Linked DNA regions of Cricetulus griseus. The protein of the gene in region 2 interacts with the protein of the main gene of each other region in a biochemical or structural test. Links are inferred from orthologs where the notes say so. Each region holds a gene or a part of one and is shown on either strand. Other genes may lie near its edges.

The links.
Region 1: the proteins of Dnm1 (region 2) and Sh3gl1 form a complex in vitro, tested with the Homo sapiens proteins (2 studies listed by BioGRID and IntAct, with this or other methods). The link is inferred for Cricetulus griseus from reciprocal best matches to the Homo sapiens genes DNM1 and SH3GL1.

What each region holds. Positions count from the first base shown.
Region 1 is NC_048598.1:97,508,655-97,519,009, reverse strand, and holds the start of Sh3gl1 (endophilin-A2), read right to left. Parts: upstream 5,565-10,355; 5' UTR 5,394-5,564; coding exon 5,349-5,393; intron 1-5,348. Other genes in the region: Chaf1a (chromatin assembly factor 1 subunit A), read left to right, coding at 8,378-8,417. UniProt on the Homo sapiens protein: Implicated in endocytosis. May recruit other proteins to membranes with high curvature.
Region 2 is NC_048599.1:144,042,828-144,052,492, forward strand, and holds the end of Dnm1 (dynamin-1), read right to left. Parts: intron 8,664-9,665; coding exon 8,554-8,663; intron 7,630-8,553; coding exon 7,518-7,629; intron 7,134-7,517; coding exon 7,122-7,133; intron 6,800-7,121; coding exon 6,629-6,799; intron 4,980-6,628; coding exon 4,738-4,979; intron 4,390-4,737; coding exon 4,174-4,389; intron 2,892-4,173; coding exon of another isoform or gene 2,890-2,891; intron 2,529-2,889; coding exon of another isoform or gene 2,507-2,528; exon of another isoform or gene 2,492-2,506; intron 1,712-2,491; coding exon 1,639-1,711; 3' UTR 549-1,638; downstream 1-548. UniProt on the Homo sapiens protein: Catalyzes the hydrolysis of GTP and utilizes this energy to mediate vesicle scission and participates in many forms of endocytosis, such as clathrin-mediated endocytosis or synaptic vesicle endocytosis as well as rapid endocytosis (RE).

The DNA.
Region 1 (10,355 bases), on a different chromosome or scaffold from region 2:
GAAGCCACAGCTGTGTTCCCGAAGTGCTTGGGAAGTGTCCCGTGACCCCCAGGGGCTCAAATCAGCAGGTTTTCTAGGAGCTGAGCGGAAAAGGAAGATGAGGCATCCTGTGGACCTGCAAAGGGCAGGAAGAGGGAGCAGAGGGGCGCCCACCCAGGCAGCAGGGGTGGCCCCTGGCAGGGGGAGGCCGAGCGGAGCAGCTGCCAGAAAATGAAGTTTTCTTTCTAGCTTTCCAAGGAGCGCTTAAGAGAGAACGAGACAGCAGAGATTCAGCCATTATATAGCTACACACCCATGATCCCAGCATGGGGTTTGAATGAGACCCCCATCCCACAAACAAACAAAAATTCAGAAGAATAAAAGTAAGTAAATAGGGAATGAGACGGCTCAGTTGGTACAGTGCCTGCCACATGGAATCTCAGCTCGCACATGAAAACATGGGTGTGGTGGAGACAGGCAATTTCACTGCTGCTGGACATGGGGACTCTTGGCTAGCCAGGCTAGTCTTAGTGGTGAGTCCCAGGTCCCAGTGGTAGATTGTACAGCAGGAATAACACCTGAGGTTGATCCTTCCCCACAATAAATAAATAAATAAATAAATAAATAAATAAGCAAGCAAGCAAGCCCTGGGTTGGAGCATGGGGTGCCAAGCAGAGAGCCAAACCTGGGCCTGGTTCCACTCCCCCCACAGCTGCCTGCTGTGGCATCTCAAATCCTACAAGGGAAATGAGTTGTGGAGGGGCAGAGAGGGTACAGCTGTTTCCTGGGTCTCCCGATCAAAGGCTGTGCTTGGTGGAGGGGAATGGACATATATGCACACACACAGATACATGTACATGCTCTGCAGGCACTCACACGTAGCAGGGGCCTGCCTCTCTGGAAGGGCCCAGGCTGAAGAACAGGGAGAAGGGAATGGGTACTAACAAGTGAGGTGGGACATGGAACACTCAGACACCATGTCCCTAAAGGAATGATGGTGATGGGGCTTATAAACCAGATGTGACAGTCCCCATTTTCCTGTCACAGTGGCCTGCTGTAATGTCCAGAGATGGAGCTGCTCCATGGTCTGGCCTAGCACACCATGGTAAACGATTAGCTGGGGTGCTGCATTGAGAGCCCAGGGCTCTGACTCAGGTGGACTTTCAGCTCACACAATCAACGTGGCCTCATGTGGAGGAAGTCATAGCCAGGGCTGGGGTGTCATCTACAGGCCTTGGGTTCTACCTCCCTCTACAGAATGTGTGAGAGAGGAGTGGGAGAAGGAGGAAGGGAGGGAGGGAACAGACAGACAGACGACAGACAGGCAGACAATAGTTACATCCCCAAACCCACAGAGTCCCAAGTCTGCGTGTGTGTGTGTGTGTGTGTGTGTGTGTGTGTGTGTGTGTGTGTGTGTGTGTAGGGGGCAGGGCCCACCAAGCACTTGCCTGGCACTCCAGTCAAACAGTTGGCAATTTTCTTCCAAGGTCAGATCAACCAATCTTTCTTTTCAAACCTCCCTTTCTCTCAGGCAAAAAAGAGGTTGTGGGGGGGGGGTTGGGGTGGTGGGGGGTGGGGTGAGGTCTGCATTCCATGCCAGGAGCAGCATCCTTAGTTACATTCCATCTCCAGGCCATCACAGAATGACCAGGAAACCAGCCAGCTCAGGCTAACAGTGAAGACACCAAACAAACTTCTGAGCCACAGGCCACTTCTATCTGATACCCTGACTTCCTCAGAACCCTCAGTCCTCCACACACACCAGGGTGAGGAGACGGTGGGGATCACAGCTAAGAGCAGAGCCACCATCTCTCCACTTCCCCATAGGAAGTGAAACCCCCAACTTCCTTCAACACCCAAGCTCATTTTACACATTTACATGTACCTGCAGGCTTGGCTGGGTGATGAGCTGGGGACCTGTGAAGCTCAAACCAGTGGAACCGGAGCCACAGTCCAGTTGCCCATCCTGGCTTCCAGCTCCATCCATACCTTGCCTCAGCACCCCTGAACATCTTTCCATAACCAGTCATTTCTGATTTGAGACAATGTGGGCTGAGGATTCTTTTATCTTCTTTGAGATAGGGTCTCATGTAGTCCAAGCTGGCTTCAAACATACTATGCAGCTGAACTCCTTGATCCTCCTGCCTCCAACTCCAGATGACAAGTGTGAGCTCCTACACAGGGGTTATGTGGAGTTGGGGGCAGATCCCAGAGCTTCCTTATAAACTGGGTGAATGTTCTACCCACTGAGCCCCAGCTTCTCTCCTGCTGGCTCTCACTATGTAGCCCAGACTGGCCTGGAACCTACAGGGATTATAGGCATGCCCTATCACACCTGGCTTATGGCTTCTCTTTCTGGCAAGAAAGAATTTTCTGGGGACTCAGGAGACAACCAGGGAGGTGTTACTTAATAGAGAAAAGAGACACACAAGCGGGACCCAGCTGTAAGAGTAGGATGTTGAGGAACTGAGGAAACTCCTGCAGGAGGCTGGGCTGAGGGCCATCTGTTTGTAGCTCTTTAGAGCTGGCTCAGACTCCTGGGCACAGCAGTCATTCTTTGGGACAGGGCCCTAAATGTCAAACAGTAAACTGACCTGAGTTGAGTGGGACTTTCCAGGTTTATAGGCAGGTTGGATGGTGGCCCTCCAAGAGGCAAAGTCTGGTGGCTGCCCCTCTGGGTCCTTCCCGAAGTGCCTGCTGGGAATCAGTGGGGGAGGAGCCTCTAGAGAGCACAGGGATTCAAACAGGAGGGTAGTCTCAGGCCCAGGCTGGCAGCACCCCCAGAGCTTGCCTACAGTACTTCCTGCATGGGTGCAACCCACTCAACCCCAGCTGGGGGTGTGCACTGCCATACTCAACATTCCTGCACTTTCTTCTTTCATCTCTACCCCCCCCCACACACACACACACATGTGCTAGCCTCCCTCCAAGGTCCACACATAGAGCCCAGATGTCTTTATCCTTAGGCAAGCTAGGGCCATTCCTTTTGGCCCCTGGAGTGACAGCAAGCACCAGATGCCTGCTCCCTCTGGCTGGGCCTCTCTGGACCATGGGGAGAGCCCTTCTTGCAGGCACAGCCCAAGCAATTCCTCACACTGTTGCTCATCTCTCTGTGGAATCTACTCGAGCCAGCTCCACACCCAGGATTCTCAGCCTGCACTGCATAACCACAGGATTAGCACATCTGGGGCTTCTTGGAGCAGAAACCAGGCAACAAACTCTAGGTTCACAGGGCTCCCTGCACAGATCCATGGGTTGCATGCCTCTGAGTGTTTTACTACATACCCCTGGAACTCAATTCGCAACAAACCCAGGGCTTCCTGCGTGGTAGACAAGCCTTCTACCAACTAAGCTACACACCCAGATCACCTGCTGCTGTTCTGAGATATAGACAGGTTCTTCAACTTGAACTTACAGCTAAAATCCTGCCACGGCCTATCAGATAGTGTGGCCACAGACTAAACCAACAAGCCTGGGCCCTGTTCTAGAAGGGGAGTGTAGCTGCTCCAACATCCTTGACTGAGGACAGGCCTCTGAGCTGAGAGTAGCACCAGAAGGGATGCACAGACTGAAGACACACCAGCCTTGACCCTGGTGACCTCTATGGTGACAGGAGTAGCGACCAAGTGTTTCATACGGACATAGCTCAAGGTAGAACATTTGCTACTGTGGGCAAGGTCCTTGGTTCCAAACCTAGCACGCATGAATGCGTGTATGCATACATACATACATACATACATACATACATACATACATACATACATGCATGCATGCACGCACGCACGCACGCGCGCGCGGGGGGGGGGGGGGGAGGGAGGAAGAGGAGAGAGGGAGGAGAGGAAGGGAGGGAGGGAGGGAGGGAAGGAGAGAGAGAGAAACCTGAAGGGGAAGACAGAAGAAAAGAAACTCAAAACAGACAAGGGAAAACTCACAGATATGAACTTGGCAAACCACTTCTGGGAAATTTATCTTACAAATACAATCTCACTAGTGAGGCTTGGTGGCAACAGCACAAGGATGCAGAGACGGGGATAATGAATATGAGGTCACTCTAGCCTCAGACTGGGACAGAGAGAACACAAGAGCTTGTTCAAGGGAACATATGACAGAGTCCCAGCACTCAAAGGCTGAGAAATCAGGCTCACAGTGCCAAGGAGTTCAAGGCAATGTAAGACCTCCAATACATGAAGGCAAGTTTGAACTGTGGCACCCTGTCATCCCAGCACCCAGGAGGCAGAGGAAGGAGGAAATTTTGGGTCAGCCTGGACTACAAAGCATAACCTTGTCTGAAAAAGCAAACAAAAAAGTTCCAGAGGAGCCGGGCCGTGGTGGTACACACCTTTAATCCCAGCATTCAGGAGGCAGAGGCAGGGGGGATCTCTGTGAATTTGAGACCAGCCTGGTCTACAAGAGCTAGTTCCAGGACAGCCTCCAAAGCCACAGAGAAACCCTGTCTCGAAAAAAACAAACAAACAAAAAAAGTTCCAGAGGGATGTTACATTATGGGATGTCGGAAGACATCTGTTTTCAAGATGAATGGAGCTCCTGCCATGGGGTGGGGTTTTCAATATGTAAGGATGCAACAGAGCCCAGGATGCCCACCCTGGAGAACACACACAGCCAGGATGTAGAATTTCAGTTCAGATTCATGCTCCAAGAAGCAGTGAACCCAAACCACCAAGTACCCAGGAATCTACAGTTCAGCACAGCCATATCAATGTATCTTTCAAAGAAACACACACGGACTTGGAAATGGGGACACAAAGTCTGTGACATTTTGTAACTGGAGAAGCTTGGAAAATTACTTTTCACTGTCTCTTTTCAACTTGGCACAGTGTCTACCAAGAGATTCTTCTTTTTTATTTCGTTTTTGAAACGGGGTCTCCTTATATAATCCTGACTGGCCTCAAACTCTTGAGATCTGCTTGCTTGTCTCTGTCTCCAGAATGCTGGTACTAAAGATGTGTACCTCCTGGCGAGTGTCTTGGGGGGGGTTGTTTTTGCAATCTATTTTGGAGACACAGAAGAAAAAGAGATGGGCCACTTATTTTTCTAAGTCCTGTGTGGACTTCGTAAATGTTATCAAGATTTTTTTTGGGGGGGGGAAAACAGCCCAGACACACATTTTCTGTGGCCTGAGGCTATGTGGCAAGAGTCACGGATACACACAGCCTGGAAACCTGGGTTCCCTCCTTCCACCCTGGGTCCCTGGGACCGAAATCAGGTCGTGAGGCTCGGTGGCAAGCCGGTTAGACACGCACATCCCGTGCCCCTGTGCAGCCCGGGGGCCCGGTTTTCCCTTCCCGGAGCTGGCTCCTTCGCGGTCCCGCGAGCCAGGCCCAAGCCCGGATCGCCCGGCCGCGCCTCACCTGGCTCGCCTTGTAGAACTGCTTCTTCAGCCCCGCAACCGACATGTCGCCTCCCGCCGTCGGGCCTCCCGCCCGGACTCAGGTTTCCGCCGGCGTCGCCGAACCGACCTCCTTCCTCCGCGCGCTACTCGGCGCCGCCTCCGCCAAAGCAGCTCGCCAGCTCTACGCGCCCGCCGGGGAAGACACCTCGGCCCGCTAGCGCGCACGCGCGGCCGGGATATTACATGGCAACCACACACTTCCGGTGCCGCCCCCACCTCGCCTCTGCCCCTCCCAGCGGCATCCGCGCGCGCGCGTCCGGCTTCTGTGCGCGTGCGCCGCCCCTGTAGGCCGGAGAGCGCATTGCAGCGGGAAGGTAGGGGAGAAAAAACCCGCCCACAGCAACGAGATGAGGGGCGCCCGGAGAGGCCGGAGAGCTGCAGCTCCCTCTACAGCCGAGGAGTAGTAGGAGGAGGACATAAAGTCAAAGCCAGCGTCCATTAGTTAATTAGTGCGTGCGTGGGGAAGGGGGCGCGGCGTGCGTGCCAGAGGACGGCTGCGGTAGTCGAATCTCCGGGATCGAACTCACGTATCCAAGCTCGGCTTAAGAACTTTACTCACAGCCGTCTCACTGGGCCCCCAAGGAAAGATTCCTGACAGCTCACGGCTGTGCCGGGCCGCTGGAACACACAATAAATGAAATAGAGAATAAAATGAAAACAAGACAAAGCCAAGTAAAATGAAATTTCCGAGGCGTTAGAGGGACGGATGGCTGGCTGGCGTGGCGGTGACCGGGAGGGAGTTTGGTTCCGCCGCACCCACATCGGGCCGCTCGCTTCAGATCCATCCGCCCTCTCGTGGCCTCCTCGGTCAACTGCGCCCAAGTCTGCAGGATCACACGTATACCCATAACTTAAAAGATAAACAATATAAAAACACTCAACCTAGGGTGTCTCCAGTTTAGAAGGTAGACGTCTTCATTTCTCTTCCCGTAGCTGTGACTAAATGCTCTGACAACAAAAGCAAAACCCAAAGGAAAGCAAAAACGCTTGGTCAAAAGCAACTGAAGCAAAAGCAAGAAAGAGTGTTGGAATGCCACCTCCTTGGTGAGACCCAGACTGACACTGGTACCTTAACCCTTAGATCAACTGTGTTATGGATTTCAAAAAGCATAAAGAATATGCCAGAGGTGGCAGTGCACACCTTTAATCCCAGCACTTGAGAAGCCGGGCAGATAGATGGATCTTTGAGGTTGAGGCCAGCCTGGGCTACATAACCGGTTCCACACCATTCTAGCATGACTTGGAGATTAATAATAAAATGGGGGTGATGAGTAAATAGATCCTAAAGCAGGAACAGGAAAATGTTTAGGGTAAAGAATTTTAAAAATCTGGTGTTGAAATTGCTGACAAGTGATTCCATGAAGCCAAGATTTCTGGAAGGTTCCCAGTGACTCAACAGAATGCAGTGTGGTAGATGAAAAGAACATGTGAATGTCATCCTTATTGCTCATGACTATAGGAGCCTTTGTACATGGTGGATTACGAATAGGTTTTGTTTGAGACAGGATCCCACATAGCACAAGCTGGTCTTCAATTCCTGATCCTCTTGCCTCACCTTCCTGCTCCTGCAATGACAGGCTTATGACGACAAGTCTGGTTTCAAAAACGTGTGTGTGTGTGTGTGTGTGTGTGTGTGTGTGTGTAACTGGAGACTGCAGCCAGATTCCTAGCATGCTAGCCACCACAGGTTGATACAAGGATGTTCTTTATTTTATATGGGTTTTGAGATGGAGTCTCATGGAGCCCAAGCTGGTGTCAACTTCAACCTGCCTTGGCCTTTAATTCTGGATCTTCCTGCCTTCCTCTCCCAAGTGCAGGGTTGACAGGTGTACAAGAAGATCTGCACAGTGCAATCTGATTATACTTCCGCAGCAAGTCAAAGGTTTGATGAGATCCTTGACACTTTCACTGAGTTTATGGCCAAAAAGCAATTCATACAGTTATTCTATTAAGAACCCACTTACTAGCCACAACTTCAAGAAAAGAACTGTTGTGGGCATTGAGCTGTTTGCAGATGAAGGAGGGAAAGGTTTCTTTCTCCACCTAACAGATGAAACATTTTAGAAACTGGTTGGTGGGTACCAGGCCAGCACGGCTGCATTGTGAGATCCTGTCTCAAAAAAAGGAAAGAAAAAAAAGAAGGCAATTAATAATGTTTTGATACATTGTATCGCTGGCTGGCCTGGAACTGGCTATGCAGACCTGGCCTGGATGTCTTCAAAGTCACAGAGATCTGCCTGCCTCTGCCTCCCAAGTACTAGGGTTTAAAGCTCCCACCACCAAACTCAATGAACAATTTTTTTAAATTAATATATCTTCAAAGTAATTCACACTAAAAAGGTAATTAACGACTTTGAAAGTAATTTATAATCTTACAACAAAAAAATTCTACTTATAAATAAAGCAAATCGTAATTTTTAAAAAAGCGGTTCATCATTTCAGAAAAGTAACTCATATTTTTTTTAAGTAATTTATAGTTAAAACAGGAAGTACTTGTGAATTAACAATGAAAGGAAGTGATCCCCAGTTTTAATTGCTGTAGCTACTTTGAACCAATCACTAATTAGGATAAACTCACTTCAGATTCCTCCTCTAATCAGTAATTTCAAGTTGTCACTGGCGCGGATCGTGACGTAACCGCCCCACTTCCTCCCACGAATAGCCAATAAAAGGGAGGGCTCTTAGATTGACATTGCATCCTACCAGTAGAAACGTGCCGCTCCGTAGCCACTCAAGAACCGCCGGAAAGGAGTCCTCCTCCTTCCACCTCCCGCGGGATTTTTGGGCGTATGACCCGCAGTTCTCGCGAGGACGCGCCGAGCGCCCCTCTTTTCCTGAGGCAGGGCTGTCACGTGACGGGCTCCCGTCCAATCGGCGCACGGGCCGCGGTGGTTGCCGCGGTTCCCGCCAAATACGAGCGCGGCGGCCGCGGCGGCAGCAGTAGCGCCACCGGCGGGAGGCGGAGAGCGTAGCGGGGTCGCCGCCGCGATGCTAGAGGAGCCGGACGCCGCGACGCCGCCAGCCGTAGGTGGGTGAAGCTGCGGCCCGAAGGACCGGGTCCGCGCCCGGTGCTTGGGGGCTGAGATGCGGAGACGCGAGGGCTCGCAAAGGGGAAACTGAGGCCCCGGGGAGGGGGAAGGGTCAGCTTTGCAGGCTCCCGAAGGTTCCGTGTAGCCCAAATAACGAGGGCCTAGTAGCTGATGGGGAAACAGGCCCCGGGTCGCCCTTGATGGGTCCTGAATGCATCTGTGTCCTCTTGTTGCAGGTGGGGAAACTGAGGCCGGGAAGGGGGGTAGCGTCACTTTTGCAAATTATTAAATGTATTTGCGAATTCTCGAGTGAGTCAGACCTTTGCAGTGGGTGGGGAAACTGAGGCCTGTGGTCACTTGAGCTCTGGACACCAGAGTACCCCGCAGCTGTCTCGGGCAGGGCAAGCCCAGGATGATGGAGACTTTGCCTGGCAAGCATGACCAGGAAGCTCGCTTTTGTGAGTGTGATATAGCCCTGCGGGGTACGTGTCAGGACTCTGTGTAGCATGAGGCAGGCTTCCCTAAATGTGGGGTGCCTAGTCCCCCTGCTTGACTCTGAATTGTACTCCCAGCAGTTGGCACGGAATCCTACCCTGAGTCCTACCCTGAGACTGGAGGGGGTCGCATCCTGATGGACTAAGAGTTCACCAATTGAGCACCACTTGGGGCACTTAGGATGGTCCCTTCTGAGTATGTTATACCAGTCTGAAAGCTTGGACGTTAGTGGATAGGCAGTTTCTGGGATAGAGAGCAGCGTCCTCCATCTCCATCCACTTCTGGGATAATTCCGGCCCTCTGCTACGGTTCTGACCACCAAAGATATGCCACCCCCACCCCCAAACACACACACAGCCCAGTAAGATCCAGCAAGGCTGGATCTGTTGTCCTGACTGGCTTAAGATTTTATGAAGACATAACTAACATTCATAAAACTACCTAGACTATCATGGAGCATTGTTTTTGTTTAACCAAGGCAGAACTTTTTTACCAACACTATTGGTAATAAAGACAAGATGGGTGTGGTAATTTGTACCTGCAGTTCCGGCATCTTAGAAGCTGAGGCAGGAGGATGATGAGCTCCAGGTTGATCTGGCCTTTCACCATCTGAATTCTATCACAGGTAGAAGGAGAGAATCAATCCCACAAGCCTTCCCAACAACAAATTAATTAAAATGTAATAAAAATTCTAAAGAAAGGATGTCTTTCAGGAAAACCCATATTTTTTGGCAGTAGAAAACAGGGCAATGTTACCTTTCTTCCATTCAAATAGGAGAAAAGGGGCATGGGTGTTCTAGGTAGGAGTCCGAGTCTAAGCCGGGGTGACGAGGCTGTCTCCACTCTGGACAGCTGAGGTTGTCCAGAGTTGAGTCTGAATTTCATATAGCAAAATGTATGGGAATGCTCCCCATATTACTGAAGGGGTTTTTTGTTCACTTAAAAAATCGCCTCGCAGGTGGAGTTTCTACACCTGAGCCATCTGTTTAAAGGCATTTACTCAAAGACAGGTTCTGAGCCAGGCATGGCGGTGCATGCCTTTGGGAACGGAGGGAGGAGGATCTCTGTGAGTATGTAAGCTAGTCTGGTCTATTTATTAAGTTCCAGGACAGTCAGGGCTACATAGAGAGCCACTGTCTCAAAACAAACAAAAAAACAGTTCTATTTATGGCTCTACATGCATGGATTTTGGTGTGCTTACATACTTCCTGAGGTTTTTATTTTAGTGAGAAATAGTCTCTCTTGGGGTCTTTTATTTTTTAGTTATTTTTAAAACAAGGTCCCGTGTAGCCTAGGCTGGCCTCTACCTCCAAGTGTCACCTTGCCTGGCTTCTGCAGGGCTGTGGATGGAACCCAGAGCTTCCTGCATGTTAGGACAGTGTGCTACCCATTGAGCTCAACCCAGGTTCCTTCTTATGCCTTGACATAACTACAGCTTCTGC
Region 2 (9,665 bases):
AAATGGATTTAGCCATACTTCTGGGCCTAGGATGTTTCTGTCACTGGATTCTGGGGTTAGCCTCAGGTTGGCACTGAGCAGGGAATATGTCCTGCCAGCAGAAAGCAGGTCTGTGTGGAGCCCAAGGTCTGAAGTGCCTAGCAGGGCTGATTGGCACCCATCATCTGTATACTGCATACTGAAGCCGAGGGATCCCAGAAGGAGTGCCATGGGGCTACACAGTCAAGCCTGACCTATATGTAGGTGGAATACCTAAGGGTGCTGACTTCCAAGCCAAGCCTTTTCCATTCTGTCGCCCCTTTCCCCTAGCCTATCCATACATTGGGCCTGTTTTGTTCTCCTTCAGGCTGCAGGCCCCCTCAGCTCACAGGACCTGACTGAGTTCATGGTCCTGCCCCCTAAGAGTGGAAGCAGTTCATAAGATGAGGCCCTGATAAATTCACCTTATAGCACCCTAGCAAAGGGCTCTTCCTCACCCTGTGTTCAGCGCCCAGTGTTTACACCTTCCCCTCTCCCCAGTGAATAGGAACCAGCAGAGGGACACACAATTCCCCGTCATCCAGAAATGGGTTTTATTCTCAGCCAAGAGACAGCAAGATTGGTGGCTGTCAGAACCACACAGCTGCCAGTGCAGCATCCCCATGCTGCAGGATAGGGATGGCCCAGGGGATGGCTGCCCACAGGCCAAGAGGACAGGGAAACTCACTAAAGGTGGCACATTGGAGGGGGGTTGTCAGGGTGACAGCGTTCACTTATAGTTGGACCACAAGACTCCACAAGGACAGCATGATGGTTGATTCTGATACTACAGGTTAGGCTGTGTCAGCCATATATATGTATATACATATAGGTATATTTATAGATATTTATAGAATGTCGCAGGAGCAATACCACAGAGGGGCACAAGTTTTCACCAACATTACATCTGGATGTGTCAGCTCACCACTACAACAGACTAAGTCACAGATGAAGGGGACACGCTTTGGGGCTGGGGGAGCCACTGTGAAGTCACAGAACAGCTGTCCAGGCAGGCTTGGTAAGGGAGGTCTCCGAGGAGTAGGAGGGATCTGGTTAGAGGTCGAAGGGGGGCCTGGGGCTCTCAGGACGGGACGGACTTGCCTGACCCGATCGGCTGGCAGTTGGAGAGAAAGCCAGAGAGAGAACCGGAGAGAGAAAAGGAAGGAGAGCTGGTAAGGCAAGAGCAGCCACCCCCAGCAGAGGCAGAGGGGATGAGGCAGGTGTGGATGTGGGCAAGGTTCCCGGAAAAGAGGCAGACAGTTGATGAATGAAAAAGGGAAGATGGGCGGGGCTGGGTCATAACTAGCAGGTAGTCTGGGTGGAGGCTGGGTGGCCCTCTCTTGCCACACACACGGCCTCTCACACACCACCCAGGCAATGTGCCCATAGGGCCTCCCTCTTCTCTGGTCACTCTTTCTCCCATCCCACTGGCCCAGGGCCACCGCAAGCCTCAGGGAGTCCCATGTAACAGCCATGAGGCTAGAAGTGCTTGAACCAGGAGAGCAAAGCTAAAGGGGATGATTGGAGGGAGCACTGAAGGCCCCTCAGGTGGTCAAAAAGCCCAGGAGTCCACTGAGGGGATCCTGAGGAGGCTGGGAGGCAATGCCTGTGGCCACAGACTTATAAGTCTAAGAGGGGAACCTCCGCTGGCCGGGGGGCTGCAGGTCTCGTAGGTGAGGCTGGGCCCTTCCTGCTGGGGAAAAGCAGAAGGTGAGCGTCAATGGCTGCAGAAGAGCTGGGACAGATCACAGAGAGATCCTGTGGCCAGCCAGGCAGGACTCAAGCTGATTTGCCAAGTCATTTGACACTGCAGTGTGGTTAGCTAAAAGGTACAGGTCACTCCCAGAAGAGGCCAAGTGTAAGAGCTAATGGGCTGACTCTATATCTGGGGCTGAGGACATGGCCATTAATTGCAGATGTGTAATATCAAGGAGGAAGGGGAAAGGGAGTTACCTGCCCTTGCCTTGCTTGTGAGCTGTTATGGGCTGACAGAATGGCAAAGGTCTTTTTAAGTCTTCTGAACTAATCAACCAATCAGAGCCCTGGCTGAGCTAATGTCAGGTTGGGAGCTGGAATCTCTCTTGGCAGCACAATTTAGACTAGGTATGAAGATGAAGTCCTAAGGCCTCTAACCCCTTCAGAAGCTAGCCACACACATCCTAAGCCCTCAGTCCCTACACTGTCAACAATGTCTGACAGCTCCAGGGAGTACCCACTTCTACCAACATGGGCGCAGAACCTGTCCCAAGAGCCCTCATTTAGTCAAGAAGGCCTTGAGTAGTGGCGCTGAGTCCCGGGGCTCACTGGGAAGAGAAAGAGCCAGCTGGCAGAGGACAGGAAGGAGGAGTCTAGAGCTGCAGAAGGGGGAGGGGCCTGGCTCAGAGGCCCCAAGGTTGTCCTCAGCATGGAGCTGGTGCATCGAGGAGGGAGGGGGCAGACACACTTCATGCAGCAGGCTGAGAGCATAACCTACCGTAGCTGATACTCCTCAGGGGTCACTGATAGTGATTCTGAAAGACAGCACGAAATCAACAGGGCAGTTCACAAACACACAGGTGGGCCAGGCGTGGGGTTAGGGGACACACGCACGCACACGCCTGGGCGTGCACACACATGCTGTGAGGCCTCAAGGCCCTGCATGCACACGCTAACACACATGCCCACAAACACGCATACATCTCCCCTCCCACCTCCCAGTGCCCAGCACCATTGCCGGCCAATACGTGCAGCACGGATCTGGGACATGCAGCCACTCAGCATACTGAAGCACACGCATGAGCTGTCACAACACAGAAGCTCGCTTGCACACAGAAGACCTTTGCACCAGCTCCCTGCACACTCAGGCCTGGTGTGCTGACAGGGTTACCACACTGCTCCGTAAGGGATAAGGGCTTGCATTCTAGGACCCAGGTGTCAGCTCTGCCCAATAATAACCTTCCATGATTTTGCACAGCGTTAAGTCTCCACAAATCTTTCTCCAACCTGCCCCACCCTACAGCCAGCCACATTTACAATCAATATAGCAGCCCTCCCCCCCATCTGACACTACCTTGGAAAAGGAGAAGGGAAACTGAAGCCCTAGGAGGGAAGATGACTTGCTAAAGGGAAGTGGACCAGCATCTCTGGACTCCCAGTCCCAGGATATGCTCCTGCCTTTACCCTGCTGTTTCGTCATTGGAGCCCCATAGAGCAGGCCCATCCATGCCTCATTTGGTGTATGCGTTTTAGACCCCCAGCTCTGCCCTTCAGTCATTTAGACCAAACGGATGCTATTGGTCTGTCTGATACTGTGTTCTTTCTCAAAGACCATAGTCTGTGGAAACTGGGCAGACTGAGTAAGCTATTAGAGTGAACTTCCTGGAAAGCCAGTCATGGATCAAGAAGGCAAAGCCAAGGGATGAAGTGTGTTTCTTTTCCCGAGAGATCTCTGGCAGGAGGGCAGTCTTCAGTTCCTGTCCCTGGCCCACATCCACCATCTGGTTCCAGACCACCAGATTGTCCACGATTCCCAGATTCCTTCCTCGGCTGCTTCCTATCCTACTCCATGCCTGGGTGCCACTCTCACATTCTCACCCGTGTGCACGCCCACACACATCACACATCTTGCTAGTCATACAATCACAGCCTGGCCTGATGCTGTGGGCCAGAGGCTGGACATCATTCTGGGACAGCTTAAAAGAGTCAGGGCTGGAAATGGGGCATCAAGGCAGTTCTGAATGCAACTGAAGAAATCCACACGGCTCAAAAGGAGGATCTGGGGTCAGAGCCCTAGACGTGAGGAGCTGGGCGGGTGAGTGGAGGATGGAATGGAGGAGAATGGAGGGCAAGGGTTAGAAATGCAAAATGTGGGAAGAATGAAGAGAAAATGAAAAAAGGAAGCGCCATGCAAGTGCTGAAAAGGAGGGGGCGAGTGGTATAAGTTCCAGAGCCCCCTCCTCAGAAACGACCACCTCCGGGACTCAGCGCCCCCTGCAGGGCAGGGCCGTCAGCCCGTTGCGGCCGCCGGTCTCTTGGCCTTGCACCACCAACCCCAGCGCCTGGGATGGAGAGGGTCGCTTCCACCGCTAGGCCAAGGATCTAGAATCCGACTCCACCTCCCTCCCAGTCACGCCCGCCTGGAGGCCTTTCCCGCCGCCGCTTTCAGCCCCTACTCACCTGGGGACCCCAGGTGGGGCGCGGTTGGGGCGCGAGGGCACCTGGGGAGGGGGGCCGAAGGGATCAGGGGAAGCCCCCGGCCTGGAGGGCACGGGGGGCGCCCCCCCCAGGGCGGATCCAGCAGGCGGAGGCCCAGGAGCAGGGCCCCGCGACCCGGGCCGGGCTGGGGGCACGGCGGGGGCTCGGCGCTGCGGCGTGGGGCTGGACGTGGGCGATCTACGGTCGGGCGACAAGGGCAGAAGAGAGGAGCAGATATGAGCGGCTCCGCCCCCAACAGGGATCCCGCCCCCAGCCCAGGCTGTCCCCGCCCATGCAGCAAGCCCCGCCCACCGCGGCCGCGGGCAGCATCGGAGCCGAAGCCTCGTCCCCCCAGCGGCGCCACCCGTCCTGCAGCCAGCGCTCACGGCAAGCCCCGCCCCGCGACAAGCCCGCCCTCTTCTAAGCTCCGCCCCTCGCTCCAGGTGGGAGCCCCCGAGACCCGGGCGCGCCACTGCCCGGTCCCGGCCCTCCTCCCGCGGGCCCCGGGCTGGGGGGCTTTGGGGCCGTGGGGGCCGGCCCTGGTACCTGCGTCCGGCCGGTACGCTCTGCACCTGCAGCCAGGAGTCGTCCACGGGCGGGGGCATGGGCGTGCTGACGGTGGTCGTGTTGATGTCGCCGATAATGCTGAGCGCCTCCTTCAGTGCGTGGTACATGCGCAGCATCTCATCGCGCCGCTGAGCTTGCTCGGCCGATTCCTCCATCAGTGTGTTCTGGTCCCCGCAAGAGTACAGGTTGGCCAGCAGCTCGGAGAAGATAAACTCCTTGGTCTGTGAGAGAGCAGAGACGGAAGGAACCTGATGACCATGCCACCCTGTCGCTGGCCAGACCTTCTGGGATTAGGTGTAGAACTGGGAGCTGGAGTTTGGCATTTCAGATGCCTACTTCTGCTTGGTGCCCAAACCCGTAGGTCTCTCCAAACCCCATCTAATGTCCTTTTCTCAGACATAGCCAGAGAGGGAAGTCACTTGCCCTCTGTCTGTGATCTGGGATGAGACTCAGAAACCTAGCATGCCACTAGGACAACTGCCTACTAAGTTTATGAGCCTTTCCCAAGACCCAAATAAGGAAGGAGATAGTTTAAAATGTCCTGAGTCCCTAAGAAAGAAATAAACATAATTATAATGTGTCCTTGGATTGAGTGAGAAGTATCAGTGTGTGTAGTGGAGGTTTAATTCCCATTTAAAATCCCCAGGCAGTGCTGCGCGGTGGTGCTGCACATCTTTAATCACAGAACTTTGGAGGCAGAGGCAGGAGGATCTCTGTGAGTTCAAGGCCAGCCTGGTCTACAAAGTGAGCATCAGGACAGCCAGGACTATGCAGAGAATCCCTGTCTCAAAAAAACAAAACAAAACAAACAAAAAAAGATTGCCCCAGTGTGGGGCAGTATTGTGACTTGTTGACACATTGTAGCCTGCTCCAATCTCACTGCCTCCTCACCCAACAATCTACGAACACCCCCCCTCCATGAGCCAGGCTCTGTGCTGCTCCACACTTCATAAGCAATGCTGTTCTCAGCTCTATTATTACCATCCATGGTTTATACATTAGGAAATAGAGTCAGAGATGGAGGTTCATCACAACCCACTTCTGCTGTCCTGGGGCCCTGCTTTTTCACTAAGCCACAGTCTGTGGTGGCTCTGAGAGCTGTGTTTCATTTCAAAAAATGGAGACTATTGGCTGTTCCTGAAGAACATGCATGTTTGGGACAATCTGGGTATGTGTATCTATTTTTCAACTGCAAGTTTCCTGGAATTCAAATTAAGATGACATTTCCACCAGATGTGTAACATCTGGAGTGGGTTTACAAAAGCTTAATGGGAAAACAGTGTGCAATGTATAACTAATGTATTTTTAGATTGGAGCCAGTTATTGTGGGACATGCCTGCCACCTCAGCACTCAGGAGATGGAGAGAGCCAGGTAGAGGTCACCCACAAGTTTGAAGTCAGCCTGAGCTCCACAACAAGACCCTAGCTCAAAAGTCAAAACAATAGTATTTTGGATATCATGGGCTATTAAAATTAAGGATTTTGGAACCAGGTATAGTGTCCAAACTTTTAATCCCAGCTCTTGGGTGGCAAAGGTAGGCAGATCTCTGTGAGCTCAAGGCCAGCCAGAGCTACATAGTGAGTGCTTGTCTTGAAAATAGGTAAATAAATAAGGGTTTGAGGATTATGGGATAGTTTAGTGCAAAGCCTGATGACCCGAGTTCAATCCTTGAGACCCTCATGGTGAAAGGAGAGAACCAACTCCCTCAAGTTGTCCCATTACCTACACAAAAACAAATGGCATGAGTTTGAGTTCCCCTGCCCTGTGCATATATATAAATAATACAAAAGGAAAGATAAGCCCGCTGGCTGCTTGGTCCCACACAACTACCCTGCACCGCTCCCTCCCCCACCCCAGCTGTGGACATACATTGTTGATCATGAGGTGCATGATGGTCTTAGGCATGAGATCCCGCACAGTCTTGTTGACAATGGCCATGTACGAGTCTACCAGGTTCCGAATGGTCTCCACCTGCCGCTCCAGCTGAGGGTCCATGGAGTGCATGAAGCTATCAGAGCCATTCTCCTCGGTCTCACTGGCCTGCCATTGGGAACACAGGGTATCAGAATGGCAGGGCCCGTGCAATCAGACTCCCGATATCACTAAGACCTCAGCTCCTGCAAGGATATCTACCACACAGAGGCACTGAGAACACATCTGGGACTCTAGGCTCACCACTGTGCCTCTCAGGACCCAGACACCCCACGTTCAGCTTTGACTTGACTCTGACCCTAGTGTCTAGAATCCGTCCCCATTTCTCAGTCCATACATTGGAAAAGATCATCTCCAAGTTCCTTCACTTGGCTAGAGTTGGTGCCAGGCTCGAGGACCCTGGCAGGAAGCAGGGGGAGGACACACTTACCTTCTCCTTGTCCTGGAGGCCCACATCAGAGCCACAGAAGCCATATCAGCATTGCCACCAACACCAGGGAGCACATTTGAAATAGACAAAGAGAGAAAAAGGGAGGGATCACATGAACCTAGTGCAATGTACCCAAACCCTGGTACATGTAGACGCTGCTGCAGTAACAGGGAAATGGGACAAGGCAACTTGAAGCCACCAGTGTATGAAAGTTCAGGAGATGCTCTCTGGCATCCGCTGGAGGAAAATGGGGAAGCCAGAGGACTTTGTTCCAAACCCATGCAGGTAGCTTGCTCTTTGCCTCAAATAAGGACTCAGAACTTCTCAAAGCCTGGTACCCTGGAACCCCGGGTACAAGCAGCTGGCCCCTCCTCCCCTCGCTCCACCACCACTCACCCCAACGCGCTCAGGGTATACGCCAGCCCTCAGGAAGGAAGCCTTCCAGCTGTCCACCTCCTCCTGTGTCTCACAGGCCAGTTCCAGCTGCCGGTAATCTTTGTAGACATTCCTGCAGGGTGGGGTAGGCGGGAGGGGGATGAGGAAAAGCCCCACCCTGTTCAGGGGATAGTGACATGTGTGGGCTTTAGGGTCCTCATGCCTACTATCCATCCCTGGCTTTCTTGTTGACCTTAGGCAAGGTCCCTCCTCTCTTCAAGCCTCAGTGTTCTCATTTTGGAAGTAGGTTGGGAATGATTCCTGTCTGCTGTGGCCATTGGGATGCTTCAAAGGGAAAGTAGCCCAATGTAAAGAAAGGGACTGAAGTCAGGCATGGTGGCACACCCTAATGCCCTTACTTGAGGGGTTGGGGATTTAGCTCAGTGGTAGAACACTTTCCTGGCAAGCATAAGGCCCTGAATACGGTTCTCAGCTGGGGGACAAAGCCTGTTCTCAAGAGGCTGAGGCAGGACAATCTTCAGTTTGAGACCATCCTGGACTACTTAAATGAGACTAAGACCCTGTCTCAAAACAAAAGGAAGGCTGCAGAGCCAGGCAGGGCAGCCCTGGCTTGGGCCTCAGGCCCCTTCAGCACCCTCCCTGGCTTTTTGGAGACTTCCAGATGGCATCTGCTCGGGATTCTTATCTCTGAGTAAGAAAGAGCACCTATCAGAGCCAGCCTGGAACTGGAGAAGTGATGTCTAGTCCCGAGCCCATCCCAGAGGAGACTAGGGCTTTAGACCTTTTGTTCTGTGCCAAGCAGACACTAGGTAAGTTAAGTGGCTGTGAAAAAGGAGGGAGGGGATGAGGAAGCAGAGGGGGAGGAGAAAAGGGTAAGGGGAGGAGGACGCTAAACATGGACCTGGCACTGAGGAGAAACTGAGTAGCTGTCTGAGGGCAGGCCCCTGGATTTGTGCACCCATTTTCTACACAGCAGCATGGTTTGGGGCTTGCAGGGTCTGGGGTCTCAGCAGCTCAGCCAGGGGCAAGCAGGCACCTCTGCTCTGTGTTGAAGAGGGCAAAAATATGCTTGCTTGACATGAAACCCTTCTCCACATCACGAAGCTTCAGATTGTCCACAGACAGCATGTACTTCTTCTCTTTCTCCTGTTGGGAGGGGTAGGAATGAGGTGTCAGTCTGGCACTGCCATGCCTCCATCCCTTAGAGTGTTCCATGAGGGCGAGCACCTGGGATTGTGAACACTCAAGGTAGTCTCGGGCTCTAGTCCTTGCCAGCACACATGGAGCTGTACAGTAAATGCTGGCCGTGGAGCCCTGACCCCATGGCTTTCAAGCCAACCCTAGTAGCCCTGTATATATGTCATAAGGGGCTGGCGAAGGCATTGAGACTAAGAGGGTCTCCCTCATCTCACCCTTAGCAAGTTCAGGAGACAGGCCAGGCTGGGCCTCAGGCTGGGATGGCTCAGTGGCGGCTCAGTTGCCTCCAGCCTAGTGGACTCTGACTTCATTTCCTGACTATGGAGATGGGAGGGGGGACTGCACTAGCCCTAGAGGCTCAGCCCACTCCCCCCTCCAGCCATCCATGTGTTACCAATCAGACACACAGCACAAGCCTGGAAATTGCATGTCTGTGAGCACATGTGTGTGGTTGTGTGGTTGTTGCAAGGCCAAGCGAGTCTGTCACCATTGTGTGCACTTGTGTCTATAGGACATAGCTGCATGAATGCATTGGACCATGTGGTAATAATATGTTCATGTTTGTCAATGTGTGTGTTTGTAGCAATTGTGAATGGGGTGTAAGACTATGGAGTCATAGTCTTTTTTTAGGGTTTTTTAAGTATTTTTTTTTTTATTGAAACAAGCTTCTTTTACATGTCAATCTCAGTTCCCTCTCCCTCCCCTCCTCCCCTGCCCCACCACCCCTATTTTCCTGCTCCCCAGGAAGCATATGGTTTACATATGGTTTGTGCAGTGACCTAGACATGTTGCTGTGTTCTTTTGTGGAAGAAGTTATATAAATCTGTGGATAGATGCAGCTCTGTCTGTAGGCTCTGTGTCCCAGGGGAAGGATTCAGGGATCCTGGGAGGAGGCACCTCAGATGGGGCACCAGGAAGGAGGAGAGAAGTTTTTGCTGCCTGTACCTCCTG